Callithrix jacchus: one gene and its partners. The protein of the gene in region 1 interacts with the protein of each later gene in a biochemical or structural test. Links are inferred from orthologs where the notes say so. Each region holds a gene or a part of one and is shown in the gene's direction. Other genes may lie near its edges. The genes, in order: CREBBP, HOXB7, AIRE, HOXB6, KHDRBS1, UBE2I and FOXO3.

Evidence for each region.
Region 2: the proteins of CREBBP (region 1) and HOXB7 form a complex in vitro, tested with the Homo sapiens proteins (2 studies listed by BioGRID). The link is inferred for Callithrix jacchus from reciprocal best matches to the Homo sapiens genes CREBBP and HOXB7.
Region 3: the proteins of CREBBP (region 1) and AIRE interact in far-western blotting, tested with the Homo sapiens proteins (2 studies listed by BioGRID). The link is inferred for Callithrix jacchus from reciprocal best matches to the Homo sapiens genes CREBBP and AIRE.
Region 4: the proteins of CREBBP (region 1) and HOXB6 form a complex in vitro, tested with the Homo sapiens proteins (2 studies listed by BioGRID). The link is inferred for Callithrix jacchus from reciprocal best matches to the Homo sapiens genes CREBBP and HOXB6.
Region 5: the proteins of CREBBP (region 1) and KHDRBS1 form a complex in vitro, tested with the Homo sapiens proteins (2 studies listed by BioGRID, with this or other methods). The link is inferred for Callithrix jacchus from reciprocal best matches to the Homo sapiens genes CREBBP and KHDRBS1.
Region 6: the proteins of CREBBP (region 1) and UBE2I form a complex in vitro, tested with the Homo sapiens proteins (2 studies listed by BioGRID, with this or other methods). The link is inferred for Callithrix jacchus from reciprocal best matches to the Homo sapiens genes CREBBP and UBE2I.
Region 7: the proteins of CREBBP (region 1) and FOXO3 are reported together in a solved structure, tested with the Homo sapiens proteins (2 studies listed by BioGRID, with this or other methods). The link is inferred for Callithrix jacchus from reciprocal best matches to the Homo sapiens genes CREBBP and FOXO3.

Annotation. Positions count from the first base shown.
Region 1 is NC_133513.1:5,839,910-5,843,136, reverse strand, and holds part of CREBBP (CREB-binding protein), read left to right. Parts: coding exon 1-57; intron 58-1,177; coding exon 1,178-3,227. UniProt on the Homo sapiens protein: Acetylates histones, giving a specific tag for transcriptional activation. Mediates acetylation of histone H3 at 'Lys-18' and 'Lys-27' (H3K18ac and H3K27ac, respectively).
Region 2 is NC_133506.1:117,664,927-117,669,183, forward strand, and holds the start of HOXB7 (homeobox protein Hox-B7), read left to right. Parts: upstream 1-1,457; 5' UTR 1,458-1,551; intron 1,552-1,929; 5' UTR 1,930-2,627; coding exon 2,628-3,027; intron 3,028-4,257. Other genes in the region: HOXB8 (homeobox protein Hox-B8), read left to right, coding at 21-328. UniProt on the Homo sapiens protein: Sequence-specific transcription factor which is part of a developmental regulatory system that provides cells with specific positional identities on the anterior-posterior axis.
Region 3 is NC_133522.1:49,948,119-49,952,302, forward strand, and holds the start of AIRE (autoimmune regulator), read left to right. Parts: upstream 1-1,384; 5' UTR 1,385-1,546; coding exon 1,547-1,675; intron 1,676-2,622; coding exon 2,623-2,797; intron 2,798-3,033; coding exon 3,034-3,189; intron 3,190-3,523; coding exon 3,524-3,649; intron 3,650-4,184. UniProt on the Homo sapiens protein: Transcription factor playing an essential role to promote self-tolerance in the thymus by regulating the expression of a wide array of self-antigens that have the commonality of being tissue-restricted in their expression pattern in the periphery, called tissue restricted antigens (TRA).
Region 4 is NC_133506.1:117,671,836-117,675,910, forward strand, and holds the start of HOXB6 (homeobox protein Hox-B6), read left to right. Parts: upstream 1-1,275; 5' UTR 1,276-1,780; intron 1,781-2,206; exon of another isoform or gene 2,207-2,326; intron 2,327-4,075. UniProt on the Homo sapiens protein: Sequence-specific transcription factor which is part of a developmental regulatory system that provides cells with specific positional identities on the anterior-posterior axis.
Region 5 is NC_133508.1:68,627,234-68,631,179, forward strand, and holds the start of KHDRBS1 (KH domain-containing, RNA-binding, signal transduction-associated protein 1), read left to right. Parts: upstream 1-1,146; 5' UTR 1,147-1,279; coding exon 1,280-1,661; intron 1,662-3,946. UniProt on the Homo sapiens protein: Recruited and tyrosine phosphorylated by several receptor systems, for example the T-cell, leptin and insulin receptors. Once phosphorylated, functions as an adapter protein in signal transduction cascades by binding to SH2 and SH3 domain-containing proteins.
Region 6 is NC_133513.1:3,564,923-3,568,905, forward strand, and holds the start of UBE2I (SUMO-conjugating enzyme UBC9), read left to right. Parts: upstream 1-1,183; 5' UTR 1,184-1,319; intron 1,320-1,649; exon of another isoform or gene 1,650-1,916; intron 1,917-3,983. UniProt on the Homo sapiens protein: Accepts the ubiquitin-like proteins SUMO1, SUMO2, SUMO3, SUMO4 and SUMO1P1/SUMO5 from the UBLE1A-UBLE1B E1 complex and catalyzes their covalent attachment to other proteins with the help of an E3 ligase such as RANBP2, CBX4 and ZNF451.
Region 7 is NC_133505.1:114,678,106-114,682,044, forward strand, and holds the start of FOXO3 (forkhead box protein O3), read left to right. Parts: upstream 1-1,139; 5' UTR 1,140-1,521; intron 1,522-2,160; exon of another isoform or gene 2,161-2,288; intron 2,289-2,402; 5' UTR 2,403-2,516; coding exon 2,517-3,134; exon of another isoform or gene 3,135-3,452; intron 3,453-3,493; exon of another isoform or gene 3,494-3,939. UniProt on the Homo sapiens protein: Transcriptional activator that recognizes and binds to the DNA sequence 5'-[AG]TAAA[TC]A-3' and regulates different processes, such as apoptosis and autophagy.

The DNA of each region.
Region 1 (3,227 bases):
ACCTGCAACGAGTGCAAGCACCACGTGGAGACGCGCTGGCACTGCACTGTGTGCGAGGTAGGCCCGCAGCCAGCCTGGGAGCTGACGAAGCATCCCGTCCCTTTGCGTGGGTGCTGGGGTCAGTGTCTCTACCTGATGGCGGCTGCGCTGAGTCCTCTGGAACTAGGACAGTATCACAAGGCAGAAGGCATCGCCATGTTTGTGTTTCCTAAACCTGCTCTGTGTAGCCATGTCCACAGGCCTGGCAGTGGGGACAGCCAGAGAAAGGCTTTGCAGGGAAGTCTGTCCTATCTGTGCCCAGTTCTGGTCTTGCTAAATGGCTGGGAACACCCGCTGTCCTCTTGGTAGCTTGGGACCCTCTGGTCCCTTGCATGGGTGTTCCTTGCATGGGCTCAGGCAGGTGACAGACCCCACCATTCCCCTCCCAGGACAGTCACCATCACCTGCCACCCCAGAGCCCACTCGCTTGCTGTGGTGTCTGTAGGCAGGCAGAGCGGTCCTCAGCCGAGCGAGGGCTTCTTCTCTCTCCACCTTCACACGCCTCTCTTCCACACTCCAGCTTTCTCCAGTGTCCTTTGTCCTCTTTCTAGTTTTTGCATGTGGCAGTTTTTACCTCTTTCTGTGAAGGCAGACTTCGTACCTGATTCTAGGGCTCCGTCAGGTTGCCAGGTGCAAGCAGTTTTTAGTAACCGGCTTCTGCATTAGGGAAAGTCCACTGGCACGCCATGGGTAGGGTAGCCCAGGCCTTTCCAGAGGCGCTTCATGGCAACTGTCGGTGCTCTGGGAGGGACCAGCCTCCCTCGGCCTTTCACTGTCAGGTTTCACAGTCCAGGTACAGGAGCAGGACAGGCCATGACGGGGCCAGTGTGACTCCCTGGGCAGAGGAAGCCAAAAGGAAGGGGGCTGGTGTCTACTGTCCATAAACTCACAGGCTGGGAGGTCTCAGGGCATAAGTCTGGTTATCTTTGAGCCTTCAGGGCTATTCCCAGGAGTCAAGGTCTTTGGGAGGAGCATGTACACGGCCCGTGCTCCTGTCCTGTCCATGCTTCCATCCTGTCTGGGTCTCCTGTCTGGTTCTCTTGGCACGGACCCAGACGTAGTGATGGAGGGAAACGGCCAGGGTTCCTGGTGTTGGGCCCCGTGCTGACACCAGCCTGTCCCCTTTTCTCGCTTCCAGGACTACGACCTCTGCATCAACTGCTATAACACGAAGAGCCATGCCCATAAGATGGTGAAGTGGGGGCTGGGTCTGGACGACGAGGGCAGCAGCCAGGGCGAGCCACAGTCAAAGAGCCCCCAGGAGTCCCGCCGGCTGAGCATCCAGCGCTGCATCCAGTCTCTGGTGCACGCATGCCAGTGCCGCAACGCCAACTGCTCGCTGCCATCCTGCCAGAAGATGAAGCGGGTGGTGCAGCACACCAAGGGCTGTAAGCGCAAGACCAATGGGGGCTGCCCGGTGTGTAAGCAGCTCATCGCCCTCTGCTGCTACCACGCCAAGCACTGCCAAGAAAACAAATGCCCCGTGCCCTTCTGCCTCAACATCAAACACAAGCTCCGCCAGCAGCAGATCCAGCACCGCCTGCAGCAGGCCCAGCTCATGCGCCGGCGGATGGCCACCATGAACACCCGCAACGTGCCTCAGCAGAGTCTGCCTTCTCCTACCTCAGCACCACCTGGGACCCCCACGCAGCAGCCCAGCACACCCCAGACGCCGCAGCCCCCTGCCCAGCCCCAGCCCTCACCCGTGAGCATGTCACCAGCTGGCTTCCCCAGCGTGGCCCGGACTCAGCCCCCCACCACGGTGTCTGCAGGGAAGCCCACCAGCCAGGTGCCAGCACCCCCGCCCCCGGCCCAGCCCCCACCTGCAGCGGTGGAAGCGGCTCGGCAGATCGAGCGTGAGGCCCAGCAGCAGCAGCACCTGTACCGGGTGAACATCAACAATGGCATGCCCCCAGGACGCACGGGCATGGGGACCCCAGGAAGCCAGATGGCCCCTGTGAGCCTGAACGTGCCCCGACCCAACCAGGTGAGCGGGCCTGTCATGCCCAGCATGCCTCCCGGCCAGTGGCAACAGGCACCCCTTCCCCAGCAGCAGCCGATGCCAGGCATGCCCAGGCCTGTGATGTCCATGCAGGCCCAGGCAGCTGTAGCCGGGCCCCGGATGCCCAGCGTGCAGCCACCCAGAAGCATCTCCCCCAGCGCCCTGCAAGACCTGCTGCGGACCCTGAAGTCACCCAGCTCCCCTCAGCAGCAGCAGCAGGTGCTGAACATTCTCAAGTCAAACCCGCAGCTAATGGCAGCTTTCATCAAACAGCGCACAGCCAAGTATGTGGCCAATCAGCCCGGCCTCCAGCCCCAGCCCGGCCTCCAGCCCCAGCCCGGCATGCAGCCCCAGCCCGGCATGCAGCCCCAGCCTGGCATACACCAGCAGCCCAGCCTACAGAACCTGAACGCCATGCAGGCTGGCGTGCCACGGCCCGGTGTGCCTCCACAGCAGCAGGCAATGGGAGGCCTGAACCCCCAGGGCCAGGCCCTGAACATCATGAACCCAGGACACAACCCCAACATGGCGAGTATGAATCCACAGTACCGAGAAATGTTACGGAGGCAGCTGCTGCAGCAGCAGCAACAGCAGCAACAGCAGCAGCAGCAACAGCAGCAGCAGCAGCAGCAAGGGAATGCTGGCATGGCTGGGGGCATGGCAGGGCACGGCCAGTTCCAGCAGCCTCAAGGACCTGGAGGCTACCCGCCAGCCATGCAGCAGCAGCAGCGCATGCCACAGCATCTCCCCCTCCAGGGCAGCTCCATAGGCCAGATGGCGGCCCAGATGGGACAGCTCAGCCAGATGGGGCAGCCAGGGATGGGGGCAGACAGCACCCCCAACATCCAGCAAGCCCTGCAGCAGCGGATTCTGCAGCAACAGCAGATGAAGCAGCAGATTGGGTCCCCAGGCCAGCCGAATCCCATGAGCCCCCAGCAACACATGCTCTCAGGACAGCCACAGGCCTCGCATCTTCCTGGCCAGCAGATCGCCACATCCCTTAGTAACCAGGTGCGGTCTCCAGCCCCTGTCCAGTCTCCTCGGCCCCAGTCCCAGCCTCCACATTCCAGCCCGTCACCACGGATACAGCCCCAGCCTTCGCCACACCACGTCTCACCCCAGACTGGTTCCCCCCACCCCGGACTCGCAGTTACTATGGCCAGCTCCATAGATCAGGGACACCTGG
Region 2 (4,257 bases), on another chromosome or scaffold:
GCCCTTTCCCCCATTCCCAGCAGCCGCCGGACGCAGGCGAGGCCGACAGACCTACAGCCGCTACCAGACCCTGGAGCTGGAGAAGGAGTTCCTATTTAATCCCTATCTGACTCGCAAGCGACGAATCGAGGTATCGCACGCGCTGGGACTGACAGAGAGACAGGTCAAAATCTGGTTCCAGAACCGGAGGATGAAGTGGAAAAAAGAGAACAACAAAGACAAGTTCCCCAGCAGCAAATGCGAGCAGGAGGAGCTGGAGAAACAGAAGCTGGAGAGGGCCCCGGAGGCGGCGGACGAGGGCGACGCACAGAAGGGCGACAAGAAGTAGGCTCCAGCTAGGACTGCCAGGGCCGCGGCCGCCCGCACGTCCGCGGGTCCCGGCCGCGCCGCCGCCGCCTGCCCCCTGCCCGAGAGAGCTCTGGCCCCGCTAGCCGGGCCAGGAGCCGGGCCTCCCACCGCAGCGTCCCCCGCCGCGCCAGTCCCCGCTAGTGGTAGTATCTCGTAATAGCTTCTGTGTGTGAGCTACCGTGGATCTCCTTCCCTTCTCTTGGGGGCGGGGGGGGGGAAGAAAAGGATTTAAGCAAGGACTCCCTCGCCCTGTGAGGATGAGCGGCCAAGGCCCGGCTGAGCCCCCCACGCCCCTTCCCACCCCTTGTAAAAAGCCTTCTTGTGCAATGGTCTTTTTCCTTTGAACGTGCTTCTTTGTAATGACCGAGGTACCGATTTCTGCTAAGTTCTCCCAACAACATGAAACTGCCTATTCACGCCGTAATTCTGTCTCCCTCTCCTCCCTCTCTCTCTCCTCTCCTCTCTCTCTCTCCTCTCTCTCTCTCTCTCTCTCTCTCTCTCTCTCTCTCTCGCTGCGTTCTCATTCCTCCTCCCATTCCTCTCTCCCCTCTGCACCCCCCAGCTCGCTGGCTTTCTCTCTGGCTTCTCTCTTTTCCTCCTCCACCCACCCCCTTTGGTTTGACAATTTTGTCTTAAGTGTTTCTCAAAAGAGATTACTTTAGTTAGCATGCGCGCTGTGGGCAATTGTTAAAAGTGTTCTTAGGTTTACTGTGAAGAGAATGTATCCTGTATCCGTGAATTGCTTTATGGGGGGGGAGGGAGGGCTAATTATATATTTTGTTGTTCCTCTATACTTTGTTCTGTTGTCTGCGCCTCAAAAGGGCGGAAGAGTTACAATAAAGTTTACAAGCAAGAACCCGAGTCTGGCCTGGCCAGCGCTCCTCATTTGCTCCCGGGTGCCTTGGAGAGCCGGTGGGGAGCCTGTCACCAGGCTCCTGCGCCTGCTGAGGCTAGGCCGCGGAGAGGAGGGGGCGGGGGCTGGAGGCAGGTGGTGCGAGTCCCTCGGCCCAGGGGCGCAGGGGGTGAGGGAGGCGGCTGCGCCTGATTGGAGGAGAGAAAAACGAGGGAGGGGAGCCAAGAGAAACCCCCTCCTCTTGCGTTCCGAGGCTGCCCAGCCTGGGAGACCAGGGCGCCCAGGCCACGCTGGAGACAAGCGCCTGAGCTGGTGGCTGTGTCCCCCGCCACCTCCCTCTTTGTTTTGCTGTGAGTCCTATGAAGAGTGTGTGTGTGTGTGTGTGTGTGTGTGTGTGCGCGCGCGCATAAAGGTGGAGTGCAGGCCTGCTGAGCATAATTTTTTTTTTTTCCCTCGGACTCTTGTTGGGGGAGCAGGAGAAGGGAGACCGCTCTTCCCTGCCTCTCCCTCTCTGGGACTTGGCCACCTTCGCTCTGTTCTGAGGCCATGGCTCACCACCTTCCTTCTTTCGCTGCCTCTGCTTCTGTGGTAGTCACGCTCCACTGAGGCATACGCCTCCGGAACCGGGAAAGCAGCGCGCCATGGCCACCCTCCACCCTTCCTTTCTCTCCCCAACCACCCAACCCCCTTCTTTCTTTTACTTTGAAACCTTTTTTTTTTTCTTTTAGCCACCAGAAACTGCAGCGTCCAAGGCCCATTGGCTGAATCCTGTGCCCTAGGAGTATCTAGGAAGCCTCGCTTCATCTCCGCCAGCAAATCTGGGGCACCGAGAGAGAGACAGAGCCGTGAGCCAGGCTCACCTTATTCCTCGTCTTGGGAGAACCGGACAACTTCCCCAAAAGGCCTTGCAATGCAGAATTGGCGTGGATTAATAAAGACCAGACCTGCCCCACGCACCCACCTTCCCAGTTGCATGCATTCAATCCCTGCGTTTGTCTCTAGCTCGGTAACGGGCTGGAGAGGATGGGTAGGGGGGTGACAACACGGATCGCCCTGAGGTTATTTATTTTCTCTTCCTCTCAATCTCTTCCTTCCCAAACCTCGCCTGCAAGCTGCCTCCAGCCCGCGGGAGTCGGCAGCGGCCCTTGAGCCCCCAGCCCCAATCCACAGGGCTCGGCTTTCCCATTCATTATTGATCATATTTTATAAATCCAACGCCACACAATTTTTTCCACATTACCGGGAGCCGTGGGGAGGCAGCCCACCCATTGGCAGAGGGGAAGTCACGTGGGCGTGGTCACGTGGTCCGGAGAGGAAAAAGGGGGTCCTTTTTGGTGTAAATCTGGACTCTAATTCTGTAATATATCAAGGAATCTCGTAAAACCGACACTAAAACGTCCCTGCCTACAAATCATCCGGCCAAATTATGAGTTCATTGTATTATGCGAATGCTTTATTTTCTAAATATCCAGCCTCAAGTTCGGTTTTCGCTACCGGAGCCTTCCCCGAACAAACTTCTTGTGCATTTGCTTCCAATCCCCAGCGCCCGGGCTATGGAGCGGGTTCGGGCGCTTCCTTCGCCGCCTCGATGCAGGGCTTGTACCCCGGCGGGGGGGGCATGGCGGGCCAGAGTGCCGCCGGCGTCTACGCGGCCGGCTACGGGCTTGAGCCGAGTTCCTTCAACATGCACTGCGCGCCCTTTGAGCAGAACCTCTCCGGGGTGTGTCCCGGCGACTCCGCCAAGGCGGCGGGCGCCAAGGAGCAGAGGGACTCGGACTTGGCGGCCGAGGGTAACTTCCGGATCTACCCCTGGATGCGAAGCTCAGGTAACGCCGCGCACCGAGCTGTCCCGAGCCCCAGGGGCCCGAGCACATTACTCGGAAGGCGCCCCCTTCCCGGCCGGGCGCCCCTTTCCGCGTCCAGAGTGCTCCCGGCCGGAGGCCGGCCCCGCCCCCGCCCCCATATTTGCTCGGTGCTCTCAGGTTCCCTCTGCTTCCCGGCGGGTCTCTCTTCGCCGACGCCACGGCGCTCCGAGCACCCAGCCCGCCCCCACCCTTCCTCTCGGCCTTTTAGCTTTAAATATTTATTAGCAGCGCCGGCACGGGGTGGAGACGAGGCCGTTTGCTTGCGGAGGAAGGCTGGGGTTTACAGAGAATAGCCATTAAGGTCTCCCCCCCTCCCCCTTCTTAGCTAAGGATCTCAGCCCTGGGTGTATCCCCCTACCCCAGCTCGAATAAGGTATGGGGGAGGGGGCCATAGCGCTAAGCAATTCTCCCCTCCCCCTTCCTTTCCAGCGAACCCCACTCCCCCATTATTCTCATCAGCTCAATTAGTGGTGGGCTCTAGAGGCCTGACGGGAGGAGAAAAGGACCCAGCCAGGGACACAGAGCCAGAGAGGCAGGTGGAGGGAGGGGGTTGAGACCAAGAGAGATGAGCCTCCTGACCCCAATGAACTTGGGTAGGGGAGCGGAACAGGAAAACTAGAAAGGGGCAGAAGCCTCATGGGACTGCAGCTTCCTCAGGTGCTCTTCCTAGGGTTCCTAGGCACCCCTAAAAAACTGGCCAGGTTTGGAGATATCACTCCAGATAAGAGACTCACCTCTTCGGGAAGGGGCTAGGACTCTCTGGAGCCAAATCAAAACTTAGAGAGTGTAGTTCACCCAGCGAGCTGCTGCAGGAACCCCAAGGGTCTGAGGTTCCATAAGGTCTCTGCCAATGCTGGCCCAGACATTCTTTTCTGTGCTGTTCCACAGCAGATGAACTTGGGGGCTAGCCCCAAAGTACAGAAGACCCAAGACTCATTGTCAGAGGCACCCAGCTCAGTGATGGTCAGGGGCCAGAAGAAGCCCAGCTCTCACACCATCAGTATTCGTGGTTATAGACCCCATTACCTGCTCCATAGTTTAACTGCCTTTCCAGATGATTTATCAAAGCCCCCATTTTTCTGCTTATAGGCATTTCAGCTTGACTTTTATGTGACTCCAAACTAGGGCCCCTAACCCCCCTCCCCTGTTTCCTTCCCAGGAGCACCTCTTTCAAGTCTCCTCAGGGTTCTG
Region 3 (4,184 bases), on another chromosome or scaffold:
CCCACCTTCCTCCCCAGATTTGTTATCAGGCACCCCTGGAGTCTTTTCTGGAGGAATCTCAGCACGTGCAGAACATTCAGGGGGACACTGGGGCTGGAGGCAGAAGCAGAAATCGAGACCGAGCCCTGGTCCTGAGGAGAGGTGCCTGCTGCTCCCCATCCCGGACTCTGGCTGCCCAACGACCTATGGCACATCTGCCCACGCGGGAATCATCTCTTACTGCGTCAGTCACCTCAGCCCAGTGCTGCCCAGATTCAGGCTTCCTGGTACCTTTGTCACTCTTCAACCCTGACCCATGCTGGGCAGGTCGCTTCCTTCTCAGGCTCGGGGGGAGCAATGTGCCCAGAGTCCTTCGTGGGTCTCTGCAGCCTGCACACAGGGCCTGCCTCGCCGGCTTGACCGGACAGACAAGGGGTCTGTGTCACCAAGGCCTCCCGCTGAGGCCAGCCCCTTCGAGGCCATGCCCGCATCCTTGCAGGCCCCAGACCTCTGCACCTGCTCCTGCTTTACTGGGGGCACTGTCCCCACCCACGTCCACCTGGGACCCTCGACTCCTGTCCATGGCAGCTCCTCTCTGGGATGTCTTCCCAGATGCCCCCGAAGCTCCTGTCCAAGCTGCAGTGTCCCTCAGCCTGTGTCACTGGTCCTAGGAAGACCCCTCGGGAGCTCACACTCAGGGCCACCCTCAGAGCCTCCACCATGGGGCCAGTTGCTTTCCTTCTAAAGCACCTGGGGGAAGGAAGTAGGGGGTCAGTGGGAACCTCCATCCCCAGGCAAATACACCCCTTTTGAAGACGAGGGAACTGAAGCTCAGAGAAGGAAAGGACTTGGCTGGCGTCACACAGCCAGCCTAGGGTGGCGAAGTCAGGAGCCTCTTCGGCATCGCCCAGGGCTGCCTAGGGCGGGACACCAACCCTACAGTCTCCTCCATCAGACTGGGACCCTGCATCAGGCTCCTCCCACAGCCCCAGGTGGGCCTCCAAGTGGGGCTCTCAGCTTGTGTGGAGGTACCCCAGGGAGCCACCCCAATCCAGCCTCCATGGAGGCTCTTGCAGGCCACTTGGAGGGGCCAGTGCACCCTGACAGCCCGTCAGGCCCCTGAGCACCGAGCCTCCCCAGTGCACCTGTCCCGCTTTTGCCCCATTCCAGCAGGAACCTTGGGGAGGCAGGACCAGGACACATTCGGAAGCCAGAGGCCTCTGAGCCCCGCCCAGAGCAAGTCTCAGTCCCCAGCCCCCAAGGCAGCTGCCCCTGTGGGTGAGTCAGGCTGGGCGAGACTTCCCAGGAGCGGGCGGGCGAGCAGCGCCTCCATCACACGGAAGCGTCCCCGCCGCAGGGAGGCCGAGGCTCTGGCCCTGATTGGGCACCGGGCGGAGCTGCCTTTGCGCTTTGCGTGGTCGCCGCGGTATAACAGGGGTGCGCGGGGCTGCAGGCGGGGGACACGGGTGCACAGCGGGCGCGGACGCCCCACAGGCCCGCCGGGACCCGAGGCGAGGAGAGGGGCTGCCAGCATCCCGGGACCCCCGCCCAGCCCCAAGCAGACCCCATGGCGGACGCGGTGCTGCGCCGGCTCCTGAGGCTGCACCGCACGGAGATCGCGGTGGCGGTGGACAGCGCCTTCCCCCTGCTGCACGCGCTGGCCGACCACGACGTGGTCCCCGAGGACAAGTTCCAGGTGGGCCCCCGCCCTCCCCTGCCCCAGGCCCTGCGAGTCAGGGGCAGTCCCTGGGGAAGTTCCAGGAGGACCCCGCCTGGAGCCTCCCAGTCCCTCCAGTCCCCCCAGGCCCGTCAGGGTGGCTCAGGCCTGTAATCCCAGCACTTTGGGAGGCCGAAGCGGGTGAATCACCTGAGGTTTGGAGTTCGAGACCAGCCTGACCAACATGTAGAAATCTCATCTCTACTAAAAATATAAAATTAGCTGGGCGTGGTCGCAGGAGCCTGTAATCCCAGCTACTTGGAAAGCTGAGGAAGGAGAATCACTTAAACCCGGGAGGCGGAGGTTGTATGAGCAGAGATCACACCATTGCACTCCAGCCTGGGCAACAAGAGTGAAACTCCATCTCAAAAAAAAAGGCCAAGTGCAGTGATTCACACCTGTAATCCCAGCACTCTGAGAGGCCGAGGCGGGCGGATCACCTGAAGTCAGGAGTTTGAGACCAGGCTGACCAACATGGAGAAACCCCATCTCTATCGAAAATACAAAAAAAACTTAGCTGGGCATGGTGGCACATGCCTATAATCTTAGTTACTCAGGAGGCTGAGGCGGGAGAATTGCTTACCCAGGAGGCGGAGGTTGCAGTGAGCGGAGATCGCGCCATTGCACTCCAGCCTGGGCAACAAGAGCAAAACTCTGTCTCAAAAAAAAAAAAGTTGGCTCTCTTCCCCCAGATATCCCCACACTTCACCCCCAAGCCAAAGGAATGGCCTCCAGGACGCTTCCTTACCCCCACCCTCAACACCCTGAGCTACCACCTGACCCCACCACAAGCTGAGGAGATGGACGTGGAGGTGCCCTGGTCTCCAGTGCCTCTGCTGGGAGCGCCCCCCTCTAGTCACAGTGGTGACAGGCAGGCCGCGGGGTGTGGGTGAGCATGGCAGGGACCCTCATGCCACCCACTGCAGGAGACGCTTCGTCTGAAGGAGAAGGAGGGCTGCCCTCAGGCCTTCCACGCCCTCCTGTCCTGGCTGCTGACCCAGGACTCCGCAGCCATCCTGGACTTCTGGAAGGTTCTGTTCAAGGACTACAACCTGCAGCGCTACGGCCGGCTGCAGCCCATCCTCGACAGCTTCCCCAGAGGTGGGTGCCGGGGGGCCTGGATGCCGGGGGGCCTGGGGCAGCTGCTGCCACCAGCTCAGCCCAGCTAGACTGGAGCTGGAGTGGTGTTTGGGGAGCCTGTGGGTGATGCCCCAGGATGGGCTTGGATCCCAAGAGGCAAAGGGCCCAGGCCTCGCCCACGTGACCACGGTGTCCAGTTCTGGGGCCCAGCCTCCCCTGCAGAAAACTCTTCTCCTGCTTCTGCCCCTGAGCTGCAGATGTGGACCTCAGCCAGCCCCGGAAGGGGAGGAAGCCCCCGGCCATCCCCAAGGCTTTGGTGCCACCACCCAGGCTCCCCACCAAGAGGAAGGCCTCAGAAGAGGCTCGAGCTGCCACGCCAGCAGCCCTGACTCCAAGGGCCACCTCCAGCCCAGGTACCCAGCAGGGGAAGCCAGCTGAGGGCTCCAGTCTTCCCCGGGAGCCTGCGCCCCCTCCCCACCCGGGCTCCCACTCACTGGGATGGAGCCAGCCTGCCTGGGGCTGTGGAGGTCCCCTCTGGGTACTAGACCCACACACTGGACCAGCCTCTCAGCTCCTTCCTGCCCAAAGACTGAGCTCCCCAGGGCTGGCGAAGTAGGCACATGGGTTTTATTTGCTTTCTACTGAGGGGAAACCAGAGCCCCGCAAAGGGAAGGACCCACGGGAGGCTGGGATACCCAGGACTGGACCCCACTCCACACCCTCCCACCTCGGGGCCCCACCCACCAGCACTTACCCCCACCGAGAGGGAGGCCAGGCTGCCCCAGCTCCCCTATTCAGGATCTCAACTGAAGGCCAAGCCCCCCAGGAAGCCGGAGAGCAGCGCAGAGCAGCAGCGCCTTCCGCTTGGGAATGGTGAGCAGGGCCCAGCGGGAGTGCCTCCCTTCTCCCTGGCCAGGGGCAAGGGGTCAGGGGTCAGAGCAGGGCCTGCCCTCTGAGGGCCTGTCCTGGGGACTGGGCACGTGCTGGCCTGGCGTGCAAGGGCCATCCCAAGGGCCAGACCCAGGAAGGGGACACCCTGGCTCCAAGCATGACCTTGCCAGTCCCCTCCGCCCCCACTGCACCCGGTTCTGGGACCCCCTTCTCAGGAACCTCTGCCCGTCCATTCCCTATTCTTCAGGACAAGTCCAGACACTGCTTCCTCCAGAAAATCATCCCTGGCCCCCAGCTGCATGCAGACGGGACCCCTCCCATTTCCCTCTCATTACTTCCAGAGACACCCTGTGCCCACTGCTGTCCTCCCTGAGGGCAGAGACTAGGAACTCTGTGTCCCTCCCAGCACAACACAGGGCCCATGTCATGGGGGGCCTGGTCATTCGTCATTCCTTCCTATCCATGTGCCAGCTGTGCTGACAGTGCCCCCCCAGCACACACACACGAGCACACATGA
Region 4 (4,075 bases), on another chromosome or scaffold:
GCCTCTCCGCCCGCTCTCCGCGCCGCCGACAGCAGCCTGGAACCTTCTCCGCAGCACACACACAGAGAGAGAGAAAGAGAGAGAGAGAGAGAGAGAGAGAGAGAGAGAGAGAGAGAGAGAGAGAGAGAGAGAGAGAGAGAGAGAGGGAGAGGGAGAGAAAGAAAGAGAAAATTGGGGCAGGGGAGGTTATTTCGTTTCCTGAATTTGGTCATTGGTAGCTCAAGTTGAAATACGGGGATATTTCAGGGGACCTGGGAAACCTGGGCTGAATTTTTGTTTCATTTTTTGCTTTCAAATACCCGCTGATTGCAGGATCAAGACCTGGAGGGTGGTGTCTATGCAGCTAGAATCGCCGAACTGATTTTTATTCGATTATAAACCCTGAATTATTTAAATTATAAAACAGACTTTGGAAAGAAAGAGGAAAGAGGGTTGGTTTTAGGATGATCTGTTGAATTTGAATTTGTCTGTGAAAGGCTTCTAAACCTGCAATTTCCCCCATTATTGACCACGTAGCCCCCTGGAGAGCGCGGGGAGCTGTCAATAGGGAACCTGGACTTGCCTGCATTTGGGCGGGAGAGGCCAGGATCCGGCTTGACCCTCCCCCAGTTTCTGGGTTTGCGGAGGCGAGAATCTGGTTGTCTGACTGTCAGCCTTTCCTCTTGGGACAAAAACAAAGCCCTAGGGGATCCAAGGCCCCCACGCCCGCAATGCTGCAAGCCTCACAGGTAGGGGTTCTGCCCTCTACAGGGCTAGGAATGAGGGTGCCAGTTCAGCTGGGGAGAGGGAACACCGAAGCTTTCATTTTGCCCACGTGCGGACGGCAATTCTAGACACTAGACACCGGCCTCTGCTCCCGTCTCACCCCAAAATTGCCTCAGAACTGTCCCTCTGCAGAGAATTTGGGGTAGACTTTTATTAGAAGAGGGAGCAGACCTCCTGTGGAAAATAGGGAGGTTCGGAAAAGAACCCTTCCTAGCTGCACCTTTATAGCTTCTCCACTCTGATTCTCTGCCCCCCCAAATCTCACCCCTTCTCAGATTGGGGTTTCCCCAAAAGGAGAGCAGGAGAAGAAAAGAAGATGGCGACTGAGAAAAGGGTTGCTGGTGGAGCAGCCATGAAGAAATGCAATAAATTCCTTGTTGTTTTATGAAAATTTACAACTTTGTGATAGAAGTTTATGAGTGGTTGAATCCAGCGATTGGCCGGCGCCGGTCATGTGGCCAGGCGATCGTGAACATGAACTTTTTATCATTTCCCTGGTGGTTATAATGCAGCATTCTTTTGGACACCACACCTAGGTCGGAGCACTGTCGTCCTTCAGGGCTCCAGCCTCTTGATATTTTTATACTTCAGTATCAGCTCGATAGAGCAAAAGAGAGAGAGGAGAGAGGGGGGTGAGGAGAAAAGAGAGAGAGAGCGAGAGAGGGAGAGGGAGAGCAGGAGGGGTGGGAATTGCACAAAGAGAGAACCAAAAATAATTTTGATTCCTAAGTTAATTTGCTCACTGATCTGGGATTTTAGTCATCATGGAGGGTAAATGGACACTCTGCCTAGGACTGCAGCCTGATACTATTTTTCAAAGACAGAACTTACTCAATTTTCTATGCAAATGTCAGAAAAATGAAACACCCTCTCTCCCAAGTCAGAGAAGGGGAAGCGACGGCTCTCACGTTGGGACAATATTATCTGGAAGCTGAAGAAGAAACTGAATGCTCCTTCTTTCCTCCCTCCCCATTCCTTTCAATCCGGAGGGAAAAAAATCCCAAGGTCTGCAAAGGTAAGGGAGATTCTACAATTTTCTTCGGGTTCTTTTGCATCGCTTTTGTAGGGGGGTGGGGCTTGGGTTTTTCTCCCTCCTCCCCTACTCCAAGACGGGGCTGAACCCCACCTCTGGGCGCTGCAGGGAGAAGCTTCCCAGGAAATTCGGTGGTGGAGAGAGGGGTGGCTGCTTCCTGGAGGGGGAGCCAAGGCAGGGGAATCGGGAAGACGAATCTAAAGAGGGCCAGGAGACAAGCTCTAAGTTGCCCTTTTAAGCTTGGAGGAGAGACTCAAGGGGGCTACGAAAGAGAGGATAGGGGCATCTGGGCTTCAGTGGCACCCAAAGAAGCCAGTCGTTATGGCCTCCGTGGGTTTGCCCCCTCCCCCTCCTGCCATCCCTCCCTTGTCCCAGCCTCTGGCTATTGCCCCCGAGCAGTTCTCTTGCCTGGTGCGGATATCGCCGGGTTCCCGGCTGCATTGGCATGTGGGGTGGTGGCGCTAAGGGACGTCCTGGTCTCTGTAGGGCCTGGAATCTCCGCCAAGGCCGGCGAGGGAGAGGAGGCGGCTAGAGAAACACAGAAAAGACAATTTACATAGAAATGCTCGCTATCTCCCTTCGGAGACGTTTTTGAAATTAAAGGGCTGTGGGTGGAGACACCAAAAATGAGGGAGACCCTCCGCCCCCCCCCCCCAGGAAGCTTGCCCGAGAATGCCCAAATCTCTCGCCACTCACGCAGGAGGGAGCCTCGCTCTGCAGGGAGACAGTTTTGTGGTTTTAATGCGGTAGGTTACAGCTGTTGGTTTCTGCGCTTATCGATTCTATTATTTGCATTGTATTGGTATGGGATGTGTGGATTTCGGTGGAGGAAAAAATTGCCATGTGTGTGTCTGATATGGTAACATTTCAAACTTTCCTGGGTCCAAACATGGTGATTGTGAAAGAGCTGTTAAGTGCGTTTTTGTTTTAGGCTTTTAAATAAAAACAAAAAAGAAAGAAATGTAAGAAGAAAATAAGAAAATCCAGTTATGGAATGGTGTGTAAACTGGAAAGCTAACTGGCACTGAGCTCAGGCAGTCCCGTCCCTCGGGTGTCCAATTTATCTCTCAGTCAGGCCTTCTAGAGGTGTGGGGAGGGCGGAGAACCATTGGGCAAGAGACAGAGATTCCTCAAGTAGCTGGTGGGGAGGAAGTAGAAGCCAGCCTTGAGGCAAGGACTTAAAAATGGGGCAAGGGAGCTTCTGGGGGAAGTTTCCAGCTAAGAGATAAGTGACGTTGGCTGTGGAGGGCAGGAGAGATTGTGATTTAGTTTGGTTTGCACGAACATGTGATTGCTTTTCTCTTTCTTAAGACCAGATATAGGACGTTCAGCCTCGAGCCTCTGGTCGCTCCGGAGTTACAGGGCCTGGGGTGTGTTGGAAGTGGGGGTATATTTATTATTTCAGTCCTAAGCTGGGAGAGGGCCACTTGTGGCGCGGAAGGGGCTCTGGGGTCCAGGGTAGATGCCCTAGTCTCAGGCCCGGCCTGGGCGCCGGGAGGGACCGCTCGGTTTCGTAGCGAGAGTTCTCCGCCAGCACCCACGGCACTAAGGGCTTATTCTCAAGGGATACATTTCCCAAACCCACCCACACTAAAGGTCTTTTTCTCCTGTAGTCTTGGAGGGTTATAAATCCTCCCTTAGACAGTTCACTGGGACCCAAATTATGCGGTTTGCTGCCATCTACCGTCCGTTCGCAGACACGCGGCTTCTGCGCCGCAAACCCCGCGACACTGCCCCAGCAGTGCCCGATGCCTGGAGCCCTGGCCGCGCAGGGTCCAAGGGATTCAGGGGATTTCGGGTCCACACCGACGTTCTCAGCTGGATCTTGATTCCCCGGTGTGGGTTAGAGAACAGAACAAGTCTCTCCTCCACCCATCCTCAATTCCCGACTCTCCCCGCCCCCTCATCCGTACCTCCCACCCCAGCCTCAAACCTGGAGGCTGGGAGGGGAAGGGGAAGGGGCTTCCTCTAGGACATATTTAAAAAGGTCTAATTCTGCATCCAGTGGCCAGGGGCCCTGAACCAAAGGGTGGAGGGATCAGAACCGAGACCCCCACCGCCACCCCCACTCCCACCCCACCAAGGCGCGGGAGAGAATGGGGCCGCTTGAGAGATCCGAAGCCAAGGCTGTTCAAGGTTTATTTGGTTTTCTTCTCAGCCAAGGGAGGGGGCCGGTAGGGAAGGCGCCGGCCGGCAGTTCCACTCGGTTGTCAAAAGACAAACTGGGTCTGTGTTCTCCGGGTTGGCTGGTGGGTCTTGCCAGTTCCTTGGTTGGTG
Region 5 (3,946 bases), on another chromosome or scaffold:
TTTATGGGACAAGTAGGAACCTAAGGCTCCACTTGCATATAGCACTCTAGGATGTGGAGAACGCCGTTGAAGATTGTCCACTATGTATGTACCTTGGCCTTGAGAGTAGTGGCAAGGGTCTCTCTAAGCCAGTCTGGAATGGTAGAAGGAGCCATCCTAATGATGCAACCAACGTCGATTAAGGATCTGGTCTCTATCCCACTTTTTGACGGAAAAAACACTTAACTGGCAAGAATGACGGCTAAACAAAACGTTAAGTCACAGAAAGCAGTAAAATATGTAAAAAGAGCTAAAATGCTGCTTCTTTTAAGATTTCCCTGACCAGCAATGGCAACCGTTTTAGAACCGACTGCAATATATGTAATACTGGAAATATATATAACACTAGCAATGACTTCTCGTGTTCCCTGCTGTCTGGGGCCCTTTTCTTTGCTAGACTTCAGGTCTCTGATCCGAACCCTCCCTCTTAGGTCAAGTCCTCCAATTGCTTTTAGTGTTTCCACCAAGCCGTCCTTCTTCAATTTCTCCCTCCAGGTTTCCCTTCCCCATCTCCCCTGCTATTGCTGCGTCAGACTCTCCCTTAGTCTTTCTTTCTCCTTGTGCAGTCTCTGTCTCTCCCCCACCTCTCTTCCTCCCTAGGCAGCCTCAGTTCTCTCTCCCTTCCCTTTCTGGGTCTCCCACCGCAGTCTCCTTTTAGTTTCTCACTTCAGTGACCGCCCCCAAGCTACTCGCCTTACCACCCCACCCCATTGCGCACTAAAATGTCCGTGCCTTTCGGCCGTTGGAGGGCGTGGCCCGGCGAGTAACAGGTCTCCCGCCCCACACTCGGCGGGCCCGCGCGTAGACAAAGACATTCCACAGCCCCCGCCCCCTCCGCCCACTGAACCAGAAGGGGAAGGACCCACGTGTCCCGCTAGCGCCGAGTCACGTGGAAAAGGAAACGAACTGAGCCGGCAGCCTCCCGCGCATGCGCGCCAAATTCTGGCCTGGCGGGCGCGGAGGGAAAGCAGGAGTCGGGAGGCCACTTCTTCGTACGCCGCGGTGGTGCGCAGGCGCCGTGGCTGGACTGGGGACTTTGTTCTCCGCGGAGAAACCCAAGGGCGGTGCCGGTGACTGGCTGCGCACGCGCGCCGCCTCATTTCCGGTGCTCTCTCTCGCTGGGTCGCTAGGGTCGGCTTCGGTCGCTACCGCTCCCGCTCTCCCACCCCCGCCAACCGCCGCCCGGGCCTCCGCCGCTACCGCGTCGCTTTCTCACTCCTTCGATCGCACATCCTCCCCGATGCAGCGCCGGGACGACCCCGCCGCACGCATGAGCCGGTCCTCGGGCCGCAGCGGCTCCATGGACCCTTCAGGTGCCCACCCCTCGGTGCGTCAGACGCCGTCTCGGCAGCCGCCGCTGCCTCACCGGTCCCGGGGAGGCGGAGGGGGATCCCGCGGAGGTGCCCGCGCCTCGCCCGCCACGCAGCCGCCACCGCTGCTGCCGCCTTCGGCCACGGGTCCCGACGCGACAGTGGGCGGGCCAGCTCCGACCCCGCTGCTGCCCCCCTCAGCCACAGCCTCGGTCAAGATGGAGCCGGAGAACAAGTACCTGCCCGAACTCATGGCGGAGAAGGACTCACTCGACCCGTCCTTCACTCACGCCATGCAGCTGCTGACGGCAGGTAAGGGGGCCTCCCGGGTCCCTCTGGGTCGCCCGGCCATCCCAAGGCATGAGTGGCCCTGGCTTTGTTCCTCTCGCCTTCCGCCCCCTCGGGACCGAGGAAGTCGGGAGCTCCGGTCTCATCTTCGTTTTTGGGACCCTGGAGTCCACATTCCCACCTCAGTCTGGAGTGCGAGGGAGAATTTCTAGGCTGCAGTGCAGGCCCGAAGGCGACTTTGCGATCTCCTAGCGCTAACATCTTGATGGATAGTGCTGAGCTCCCCGCCCCTTTCCCGACTCTTCACTCCTCCCTCCTCCTGCGGCTGCCCCGCGCTCCGAGCGCGCAGATTCTTCCAGAAATGAACCTGTATTTCCCCCTTTCCCCGAGGGGGAAGCCTTTTTGATCGCGAGTGGCAATGAGCCCCTCGACCGAGGTGTGGGAGGTGAAGACAGCCAGAACGGGGGAGGGGCCGTGGGAGGAAAGGCCGAGGTGAGGTGGGGTGAGGCTGGAATGCCCTGTCCAGCGCGTCGCTGTCTCTGGGGCCGAGCCGGACTTAGCGGTAACCGCAGCTTAAGTTGCTGGGAGGAAGGAGCGATTTATGGGGATCGGAGCTTGAGGTTTTCGAATCAGATTTCCTACTAAGGCTGATAAAATAAGAATTGCTATACTGAGCTTGAAGGTTGTCTTTAATTTTACACCGTGGGTTCACCATTGAAGAAGGAGTGAAATAACCCTAGAGACGTTGAAATGGGACGATAGGGACTGCCGCGTAGTTCTCATGACGTTTCCCAACGAGATGGACAGAAATTGAGAGAAGTTGCATGATGCTTGTACTGAAAGTCTTGGTCTTTTTGTTGCTTTGTTTTACATATTTTATTCAGTAGTGAAAAAGAAATGAGTCTTTGTTCTGTAGATTAGCGCTCTTTTTCTGATCAGCATTGGCCAATCACCTAGTCGCCCTGATTTTTCCCTAAAGCTGTCTGACCTCCACTTCTAGTTAAAACATTATTTTAATAAATATTTCTTATGATACTTAAATTTTAGTATGCAAGTAAAAATTCCCATCATTCAACACTGAATGAGTGGTTGGACTCTATGGCAAGGTTAATATAATGAACAGTTCGTTATGAAAATATTACCTCCCTCCCTTTGTTCTGTCTCCCAACACTGTAAGTTAAGGGCTCTTTACCAATGTGGTGTTCATCTTTTATGCTTTTTTAAGATAACTGTCAAAAACTATTGACCCTTAAAAGTTCCCTGTAATTTTCAGTCTCCCCTCACTGCTTAACTAAGAGAGCGCTCTTTATTTTTAACTTCTGTTTTCTGGATGAATTTTTTTTTTTTTTCTTTAAACCAAACTGAAATTGGTAAGTGTGTTTGAGGTAATGTTGGTTCACTGAAAGAATGAAATCGGGATGTATGGATTCTTTGTGGCATTGATAAGTGTTAATGTATATTGAGCCTGGCTTTTTATTTTTTCTGAGACAGAGTCTCACTGTCACCCAGGCTGGAATGTAGTGGCGCTATCTTACCTCACTGCAGCCTCCACCTTTCGGGTTCAAGCGATTCTTCTGCCTCAGCCTCCTGAGTAGCTGGGATTACAGGCGAGTGCCACCATGCCTGACTGATTTTTGTATTTTTAGTAGAGATGGGGTTTCACCTCTTGCTCACTCTGGTTTCGAACTCCTGACCTCAGATGATCCGCCCACTTTGGCCTCCCAAAGTTCTGGGATTACAGGCGTAAGACACCACGCCCTGCCAGAGCCTGGCTTTTAAGGTACTTCTGAATTATCTTGCAAAGGAATTGCAGCGAAGTCACAACCCACTGTGAAGAAGTGAGACTTTGAGAAGATAGAATAGTAATATTTAAGTTCTAGTAAGAACAAATGGAAGGGCCAGGCGCCGGTAGCTCACTTGGGGAGGCTGAGGAGGGTGGATCACTTGAGGTCAGAAGTTTGAGACCAACCTGACCACCATGGTGAAACCCCATCTCTATTAAAAATTAAAAATACAAAATGAGCCGGGCATGGTGACACACACCTGTAATCCCAGCTACTTGGGAGGCTGAGGCAAGAGAATCACTTGAACCCGGGAAATGGAGGTTGCAGTGAGCCCACGTCTGACCATTGCACACCACCTGGGCAACAAAAGTGAAACCCTATCTCAAAAAAATAAAATAAAATAAAATAAAAACATGGAAGAAAAATATAGCTATATTTAATGTTTGGTGTCTGAGCACTTTACATTAAATTTTTTTTTTGAGACAGAGTTTTGCTCTTGTTACCCAGGCTGGAGTGCAATGGCAC
Region 6 (3,983 bases), about 2.3 Mb from region 1:
TGAGGGAGAGAGGAAATGAGTGAGGGAGGAAATGAGTGAGGGAGGGAATGAGTGAGGGAGGGAATGAGTGAGGGAGGGAATGAGTGAGGGAGGGAATGGGTGAGGCAGGGAATGAGTGAGGGAGGGAATGAGTGAGGGTGGGAATGAGTGAATGAGGGAGAGAATGAATGAGGGAGGAAATGATTGAGGAAGTGAAGGAATGAGTGAGCGAGTAAAGGAATGAATGAATGAATGAATGAGTCAGTGAGGGAGGGAATGAAAGAATGCGGTCATTCCCCGTGGTCCCCAAGCGCCCGGACACAGTGACCTTGGCAGCGACCCCGCCGTCGGCGAAATGGGGGTGGGCGGGCCAGGAGAGCCCGGGGCCAGCACAGCCGCGCGTTGGCGGAGCGTCCAGCGCGCTCGCGGGGCTGGGGGCCTCCCGACCCGGTCCCCGCGGTTGGCGCGGGGATGGGAGTGGGGGTGGGGCCGGGAAGCGCCCCTCCCCCACGGGCCCGCCCCGCCCCCGCCGCTCGCAGGCCCCGCGCCCCGCCCCCGCCCAGGGTCCGCCCCCAGGTTAGGGAACATCCTCACTTCTCCTCCCGTCGGTCATGCGCGCATTCGGCCTTTTGTACCGGGTCAGCTCATTGGGCGGATGAGAAGATTTCCCCGCCCGCCGCCCCGAACTGGCCAATTGCAAGAGGTTTCACAGGGCGCTAAACTAGCGGGAGCGTCACCGTCCTGCGACGCTTCAGGGTATCCTTAGGCCTCAGTGGTCTTTGCCCCCAGACCCCAGGCCCTGACCCCAAGGAAACCTCCGGGACGTGTGCCTGGAGAGGTGACTTCCGGGTATCCAGGGAGCTTTTGGAGTTCTCGGCCTCCTTTTGCCCCCGCTGCTCGCCGGCGCGTCCTCGGATGGACGCGGGCGCCCCGAAGGGGAGTTTGCAGACGCTCCCTCACATCGGGGACGCGGCTCCTTTAAGGGTGTAGGTGTCCAGGGCGCCGCCTGACTGGAAAGTCGCCCCCCGACCGGGCTCCTGGGGCGGACCCGGGTCGCGGGCGCGCGGTGGCGGGGCCCGGGCGGCGGGGGGCGGGTGGTGGCGCGGGCAGCACTCGGGGCGGGACGGCGGCGGCGGCGCGCGAGGCAGGCTTGCGGAGGGCAGCCCCGCGCCAGGCCCCGCCTCGCGCGCCCCGCCCGCCCCAGGGTCCTCGGAGCTGCTCGGGCTGCGCGCGGAGCGGGCTCCGGAGGGAAGTCCCGAGACAAAGGGAAGCGCCGCCGCCGCCGCCCCGCTCGGTCCTCCGCCTGTCCGCGACGCTCGCCGGGGCCGCGGCCGCCCGAGGTGAGCGCGGGCGGGGGCCGGGCCGGGGCCGCGGGGCGGGGGCGGGCTAAGGCCTCCAGCGCTGTCGGGCCCGGGCCCCCGGCTGCCCCGCGCCCCGCCCCGCCGAGCCCGGGCCCCGCGTCGCGGCCGAGCTTCCCAGAGAGGCCCCGCGCTCGACGCCGGCCCGGCCCGCGGTGCTGGCGTCGCGGGGCTGTAGCCCGAGCGCCCGGTTCGCCGTAGGCCCTCGGGGCCGGGGCTCCCCCACTTCGCCCTCGAGGTGCGCCTGGCGCGGGGCCGGGGCAGCCACCTGCAGCCGGGGCCCCGCGAGGCCGCGCCTTCCTCCTCCGCGGCGAGCGGCTTCCGGGGTCACGGTCGCCCGCGGACGACGAGGATGGGCCTCCGGGGGGAGAGCCGCGGATTGCAACAGCGCTGACTCGCGCGGGTGGGGGCCGGCGGGCGGGCGGGCGGCTCTTCGGGGCCTTCAAACCGAAACGCGTCCAAGTTCTCTCGCGCCGCTGAAGACGCCCCGCCGGCGCCGCTGGTGGGAGTTTGGTCCGGTCTCGGGCCGCTTTGTACCGGTTGAATCGTGGTTGGCTCTGGAAGTTGGGGCCGTAGGAGGCAGGTGCGGGGTGACGCGCTGGGCTTGTGGTCGTGGCCTGCGGTCAGGCGCGAAGCGCAGGACGAAGTGGTTCGGGGTGTGGAGTCGGGAGTCACGTTTAGTTCCTCTGTCCGCGGAGTCTTGGGGGATTTCGTCGGTTTTCTCCCTAGGACTCACCCCACCCGTTTCTTGCTCTTTAAAGAAACGTTGCCTTTGGGTAGAGAACCTAGCGGAGAGAACACAGGAAGGACCCTCAGTTTGCCCTGGGGGCTCACAAAGAGGTCCCTTCCCTAGGCTGTTGGGTGGCTGCAGGTGTCCCGGGGTTTGGGATCTCGCTGCGGAAACAGCCCGGGGGCCTGGGACAGACAGGTCAGGTGCGGCCAGGTGAGCGTGTCCCGACTGCAGGTGCCCGGGTCGTGCAGAAGGGAACATCCTCCCGGGCCTGGGAGAGTGTGCATTTGGGTGCAGGAGGACCTTTGAGGGCTTCAGGTGCGAGCCTGTCGGGGCGCCCACCTGTTCTGGTGATGAGGGCTGCGGAGCTGTGGGCGGCACTGTGGGAGATGGGCGCTTTGCTCACCCTCAGCCAGGAAGTTGCTCTGAAGTGGGTGCAGTCGGCCAGCAGAGCCAGGTGGTGATCGGACATGCTCAAGCTCAGCCCTCTGCGTGTGCCCTGTGGGAGGGCAGGCGGCAGACTTTCGGGCAGCTCCTGGAGTGCCCGGCCCAGAGGTCCCGTTGCTGCCGGTGTCTGGGCCTTGCCTGGCGCTGACAGAAGAGTTGTTTTTGTGTTTGTAGCGTAAAAGTTTCCTGTTTTGAAGCCCTTAGTGACTCCTAGCTGTTCACTAAGTGCCTATCTGTTAGTTGGGGAGGATGGATTCAGTTTTCAGTGGGATTTTTGAATGCTGGGTCTGTGTTGTGATTACATTGTAACAGATGGGCCACTTTCTCCAGTGGGCAGGCCAGCAGGAGGGGGAGCAGGGATCTTGGAGGCCAGGCCTGGCTTCTGCCTAGGATGGGTGGGTGTGCACCTGTGGCTCCCTGCCCTGATGGTAGAGTGTCCTGTACGACCCCCGCCTGGTGCTGAGTGCTTTGGGGCTGGCGGCACAGCGGCAGCAGCCCGGTCTTGGCAGGAGGTTTGGCAGGACCACCCTCATGACTTCTCACACCTGAGGCAACAATAGCTGGGGGCTGAGCACGGCCTCTGGGCGGCCCTGTCCAGTCCTCAGCAGGAAGGCCACCTGTGGCAGAGTCCCAGGCCTGCTGGCCTCTCCATGGCCTGGTCTTGCCTGGCTGTGAGCATCGGTGCCCATGGTCCTTCAGTGACTGGAGCGCTGGTCTGGGGCTTCAGAGGCCCGTCTGATGCCTGGCCCCGCTCAGACCATGGGCACCTGGGAGCTGGCGCCTTCGTGAAACAGCCACTCGCCAGGCTGCTATGCACTGCACAGGGCACAGGTTGCAGCCACTCAGAGACTCCTCCCTGGGGCTGGGGAAGCAAGAGCCCCTGAGTTCTCAGGCCGCCGGTACCAAGGTGGTGCTGGGCTACTCCATGTGGAAGAGCCAATGGAAGGGGAAGGTGGAGAAAACTCCACACCGGCTGGGGTGTGGAGTTTCAGACCCCAGCCAGTGCAGAGAGAACCTTGAAACCGTGGTTGGCGAGCACTCCAGCCTGCTTGGGACCCATACCCTGCCTGCCCCCAGCTCGGCCCAGCTGTGTCCTCCCCCACTTTCTCCCGACTTAGAGGAGGGTGTGGGGAAGGGCAAGCGGTCAGGAGGGCAGGTGGCCTGTGGACCCTCTGCGTCTCAGTGAGGAAGATGTGGGGAAGGACATCCCAGTGGGGCCCAGTCCGTGGCTGCCTCCAGCCCCGGCTGCCTGTCTTGGACTTAGTCGTGGAGCTGGAGGCCAGGGCCCAGTGGCCCCTGTCACTCTCTCCCAGTGCCACCAGCGCCTGCTGACTGGAGGACCCAGGTTCCTCTGCCTGCTTTTTCTCGGACTACCATGAGAACCCGTGTTTGGTGAAAATGAACCAAATCCCCCTGCAGGGCACGCGGCTCTAGCAACCCTGCCCGGCTTCCGGAACCCTGGTGCCCTG
Region 7 (3,939 bases), on another chromosome or scaffold:
GTGACGGGTGCTGCGCAAAGCCCGGAGCCCGGAGGTAGCGGGGCGGGCTGGCTCCTGCGTACGCTGGGCTGGACCTTTGTGTATGGGGGTCATTACAGAGCCCGCTTCTACACTCTGAGCTATCTCCGGTGACTTAGAACTATTTTTTTAAAAAAGATATTTATAAACTACGGTGTCTATACTTTGGGTGTGCATGTCGCGTGTACTGCATTCGTAGAGTACAAATAAACGATTTGGGGCACGGATCGTAGAATAAGGACTTGTGCAGATGTTCTGAGCCTAAAGGAATCCGTCTTTTCTGAAAAGTCAAAAATGCACACTTAGCAGTTTTGTCGTCCTTTACAAATTAGACTAAAATTATTTTTCCCTTCTCCAATCTGCTCATGAATGTAGGACGGGGGTGGGGTTTGCATTTCTTCCGGAGTTAGTTACACCTGTCCCCCGTTTGCTATGAAACCCATGAAAAGTAAAACACAACTGTGGTAGGTGAGAGACTCAGTGTAAACCTTTTGGTGCCCGATCGCATCTGTGAGCATTGGCTTATCAAAGTTGTGCAGGCACCAACATCTTCGCCGTTCAGTATTTCCACGCCGCTGTAACCCTGGTCATCTGCGGTCAGCATCTTATCTCGGGTGTTACCTGGTGTCGAGTTCTAACCGGGAACCGGACACCGTGGTGAGACCAGAGCCGGGCGAGCGGATGCGCAGGCCCGGGACCCGTGGTGCCAGGAGCCCTGCCTGGTTTCGGGGAGGCCAAGCCGCTGCGCTCCTTGGAGCGTCGGGGGCTTCGCGCTCCTGGCGTTCCCTCTTCTCCCTCCTCTCCCCTGTCTTCTTCTCTCGGGCCAGCGCCGCGCTTTGTTGTCGTTGAGGCTCTGGGGAGGGAGGAGCAGCCCAGCGGGAACGACAGCGAGAGCCCGCCGAGTCCCGGCCCTCGGCGCGCGCCCGGACACCCACGCCCGCAGCCCCGTGGACCCGGGTCGCGCAAGCGCGCGCGAGCTCACACTCGCGCACTCACGCACGCCCGCCGCGCGCCCAGCCCGTCGCCCAACCCTCCCCCTGGGCGGGGACCCGCCCGCCGTCAGCTTAGGTTGAGGCGCCCTGCGTGTGTCTATAACTTTGTGCTGCTGCCGCGGCCGCCCTGCTCTTGAAAGGGAGGAGGAGGAATGTGGAAGGCGGCGGCGCGCGAGCTGACAGGCGGTTCTTCGGGCGGGCTGCGGCGACGGCCCGAGCGCTTCTCCTTCGCCGAGGTTGCGCGCCCCCTCCTCGCCGTGCCCCGGGCCCGCGCGGGATCGTGCATCGTCCCGCCGCGTCCCTGAAGGGAAGGAAGCGAGGTAGGCGCCGGAGCCGTGCAGCGGGCGGCCGCCTTCCCGGTGACTCCGGATCTGCTTGCGAGCTGGGCCGGGCTCTTCCCTTTCCCCTCCCCGAGCCGCGGTTTGCGCGCCCCCCGTCTCGCCCGCTAGTGATTTTAAAGGACTCGAGGGAAGGGGGAAACTGTCAAGATGGCAGCAGCGGGAGCAAGGAGGTGATGAACGTGCTGGTCCGGGTTTTCTGGCAGCCCGGGAGACTTGGCGCTTCCCGACCTGTTGGAAGATTTATGTCCCGACTCGCTCCCTCCCCCGGATCCTGACTGGGAAGGGGGCGGAGGGGACGACGTCCGCGAGAATACCAACCACTCAAAACCCCCAAGTGGCCGTCCCCGCCGGGTTCGACCCTCTGCGAACACCCGCCGGGGTGCTGCTCCCCTTCTTTCCGTCTTTCCTTTATTTTTTGGAAGTGACAAGGGTCCATTTGCGCCCAGACCCGCGTTCGTCCTCCGGCCCGCGGGCGAAGAGGGGAGAGGGAGCTGCCCGCGCAGTCCCCGGGCTCGGGCCAGTCGGCTGATTGCGGGGTGACAGGGGGGTCGCGGAGGCGGCAGGGCGGGGAAAGGGGAAAAGAGCCGAAGATCACACAGACTTGAGCGGCAGCGCCGCGGGAGGCACTAGAGCGAGCTGGAGCGAAATATAAACAAACGCACGCACGTCCGAGCTTGGGCTCCGACCGCGGCTCGGCTGCGCCTGCACGGGCCGCTGCCCGCTTTAAAGGCGCGGCCGCCCCTCCCCCGGGTGCCCCTCCCCCTCCTCTCCGCCCCACCGCCTAGTCCGGGAGGGACCTGAGGCTGGGCGGCGGGGGGAGGGGGCTGCCCCGCGCGAGGCCGTCGATTCGCTCGCAGCTCCCCCGCGGCCTGGCCGGGGGGCGGTGTCTGCTGCGCCAGGTTCGCTGGCCGCACGTCTCCAGGTCCGCCTGTTCCTGGTAGGCGGGCGCGGCGCGGCTGGGAGGCGGCAGCTGCGGGCTAGGACTCGCCGAGGACAGGGCTCCGGCCCGGGATAACCAACTCTCCTTCTCTCTCCTCTCGTGCTTCCCCAGGAGGCGGCGGCGGCGCCCGGGAGCCGGAGCCTTCGCGGCGCCCACGTTCCTCCCCCGCCGCACCCCGCCCCGGCGCGAGAGCCCCAGCCGCGGGCTGGCGGGCGAGCGGTGAAGATGGCAGAGGCACCGGCCTCCCCGGCCCCGCTCTCTCCGCTTGAAGTGGAGCTGGACCCGGAGTTCGAGCCCCAGAGCCGGCCGCGTTCCTGTACGTGGCCCCTGCAAAGGCCGGAGCTCCAGGCGAGCCCTGCTAAGCCCTCGGGGGAGACAGCCGCCGACTCCATGATCCCCGAAGAGGAGGACGATGAAGACGACGAGGATGGCGGGGGCCGGGCCAGCTCGGCCATGGCGATCGGCGGTGGCGGGAGCGGCACCCTGGCCTCTGGGCTGCTCCTTGAGGACTCGGCCCGGCTGCTGGCACCGGGAGGGCAAGACCCCGGGTCTGGGCCAGCCCCTGTGGCGGGCGCGCTAAGCGGGGGGATGCAGGCGCCGCTGCAGCCTCAGCAGCCGCTGCCACCGCCGCAGCCGGGGGCGGCTGGGGGCTCCGGGCAGCCGAGGAAATGCTCGTCGCGGCGGAACGCCTGGGGAAACCTGTCCTACGCGGACCTGATCACCCGCGCCATCGAGAGCTCGCCGGACAAACGGCTCACTCTGTCCCAGATCTACGAGTGGATGGTGCGCTGCGTGCCCTACTTCAAGGATAAGGGCGACAGCAACAGCTCGGCCGGCTGGAAGGTGCGTACCCACCCCTGGCTGGCGGCTGGACCCGCCGGGCCTTTTGCGCAGCGCGAGACGCTTCTTGGATTTGTCGGAGCGTGCCTGCGGGCTCCAGGGCAAGCGGGGTTGGCAGGGGGAGCCTCAGCTGTGAGGTTTTGCGGGTTCTCTTTGACCCCCGGAGTAAGGGCACCTGGGGACGGCCTCGGATGGGGGAAAAGAGGCTCCCCACAAGCCTAGGGCATGGCCAGGTGAGGAGAAGGGGGCAGGGGACGCCGGCGAGGGAAGGGCGAACGGACAGGAGTGCTTTTGCTGGATTCTCAGGACAGCGTCGAGGAGGTAGGTCCGCAGCGACTTTGGAGTAGAGTTTACCTTGATGGGGGTCTGTTTCGGGCACTGTGGGTGGAGTGAAGGATGTGGGGGAGTGTTTTGTATGCAATGTCCGGAGGAGGGGTTGGATGTGTGGTTTTTAGTCTGTCACAGGAATATATTGTGTCGTCACTAGCTGAATGAGAACCCTCGGGGTCCAAGTTTCAGCTTGCGGATGTTAACTCCCACAGGCTCATCGATCCCATTAGAAAAAGCAGTGGTTGCAAACCTCTTCCTGGACGGCTTCCTTTCATTGCCTGCAATTGACACCTTTTCTTCTCAGAGATACCACTCCAGTAAACCTGCCCCTGACTAGCTTCTGAAATGTTCTGGGGCCTCGAACCGACTGGCCTGGCCACCTCAATCCAGAGTGGCCGCACCCACTGCTCCTGGAGAGGCCTGGACTCTGGCACTGTTGGAGGGAAGGGCTTGGGTATAGGGGACTAGGGGCCTGTGC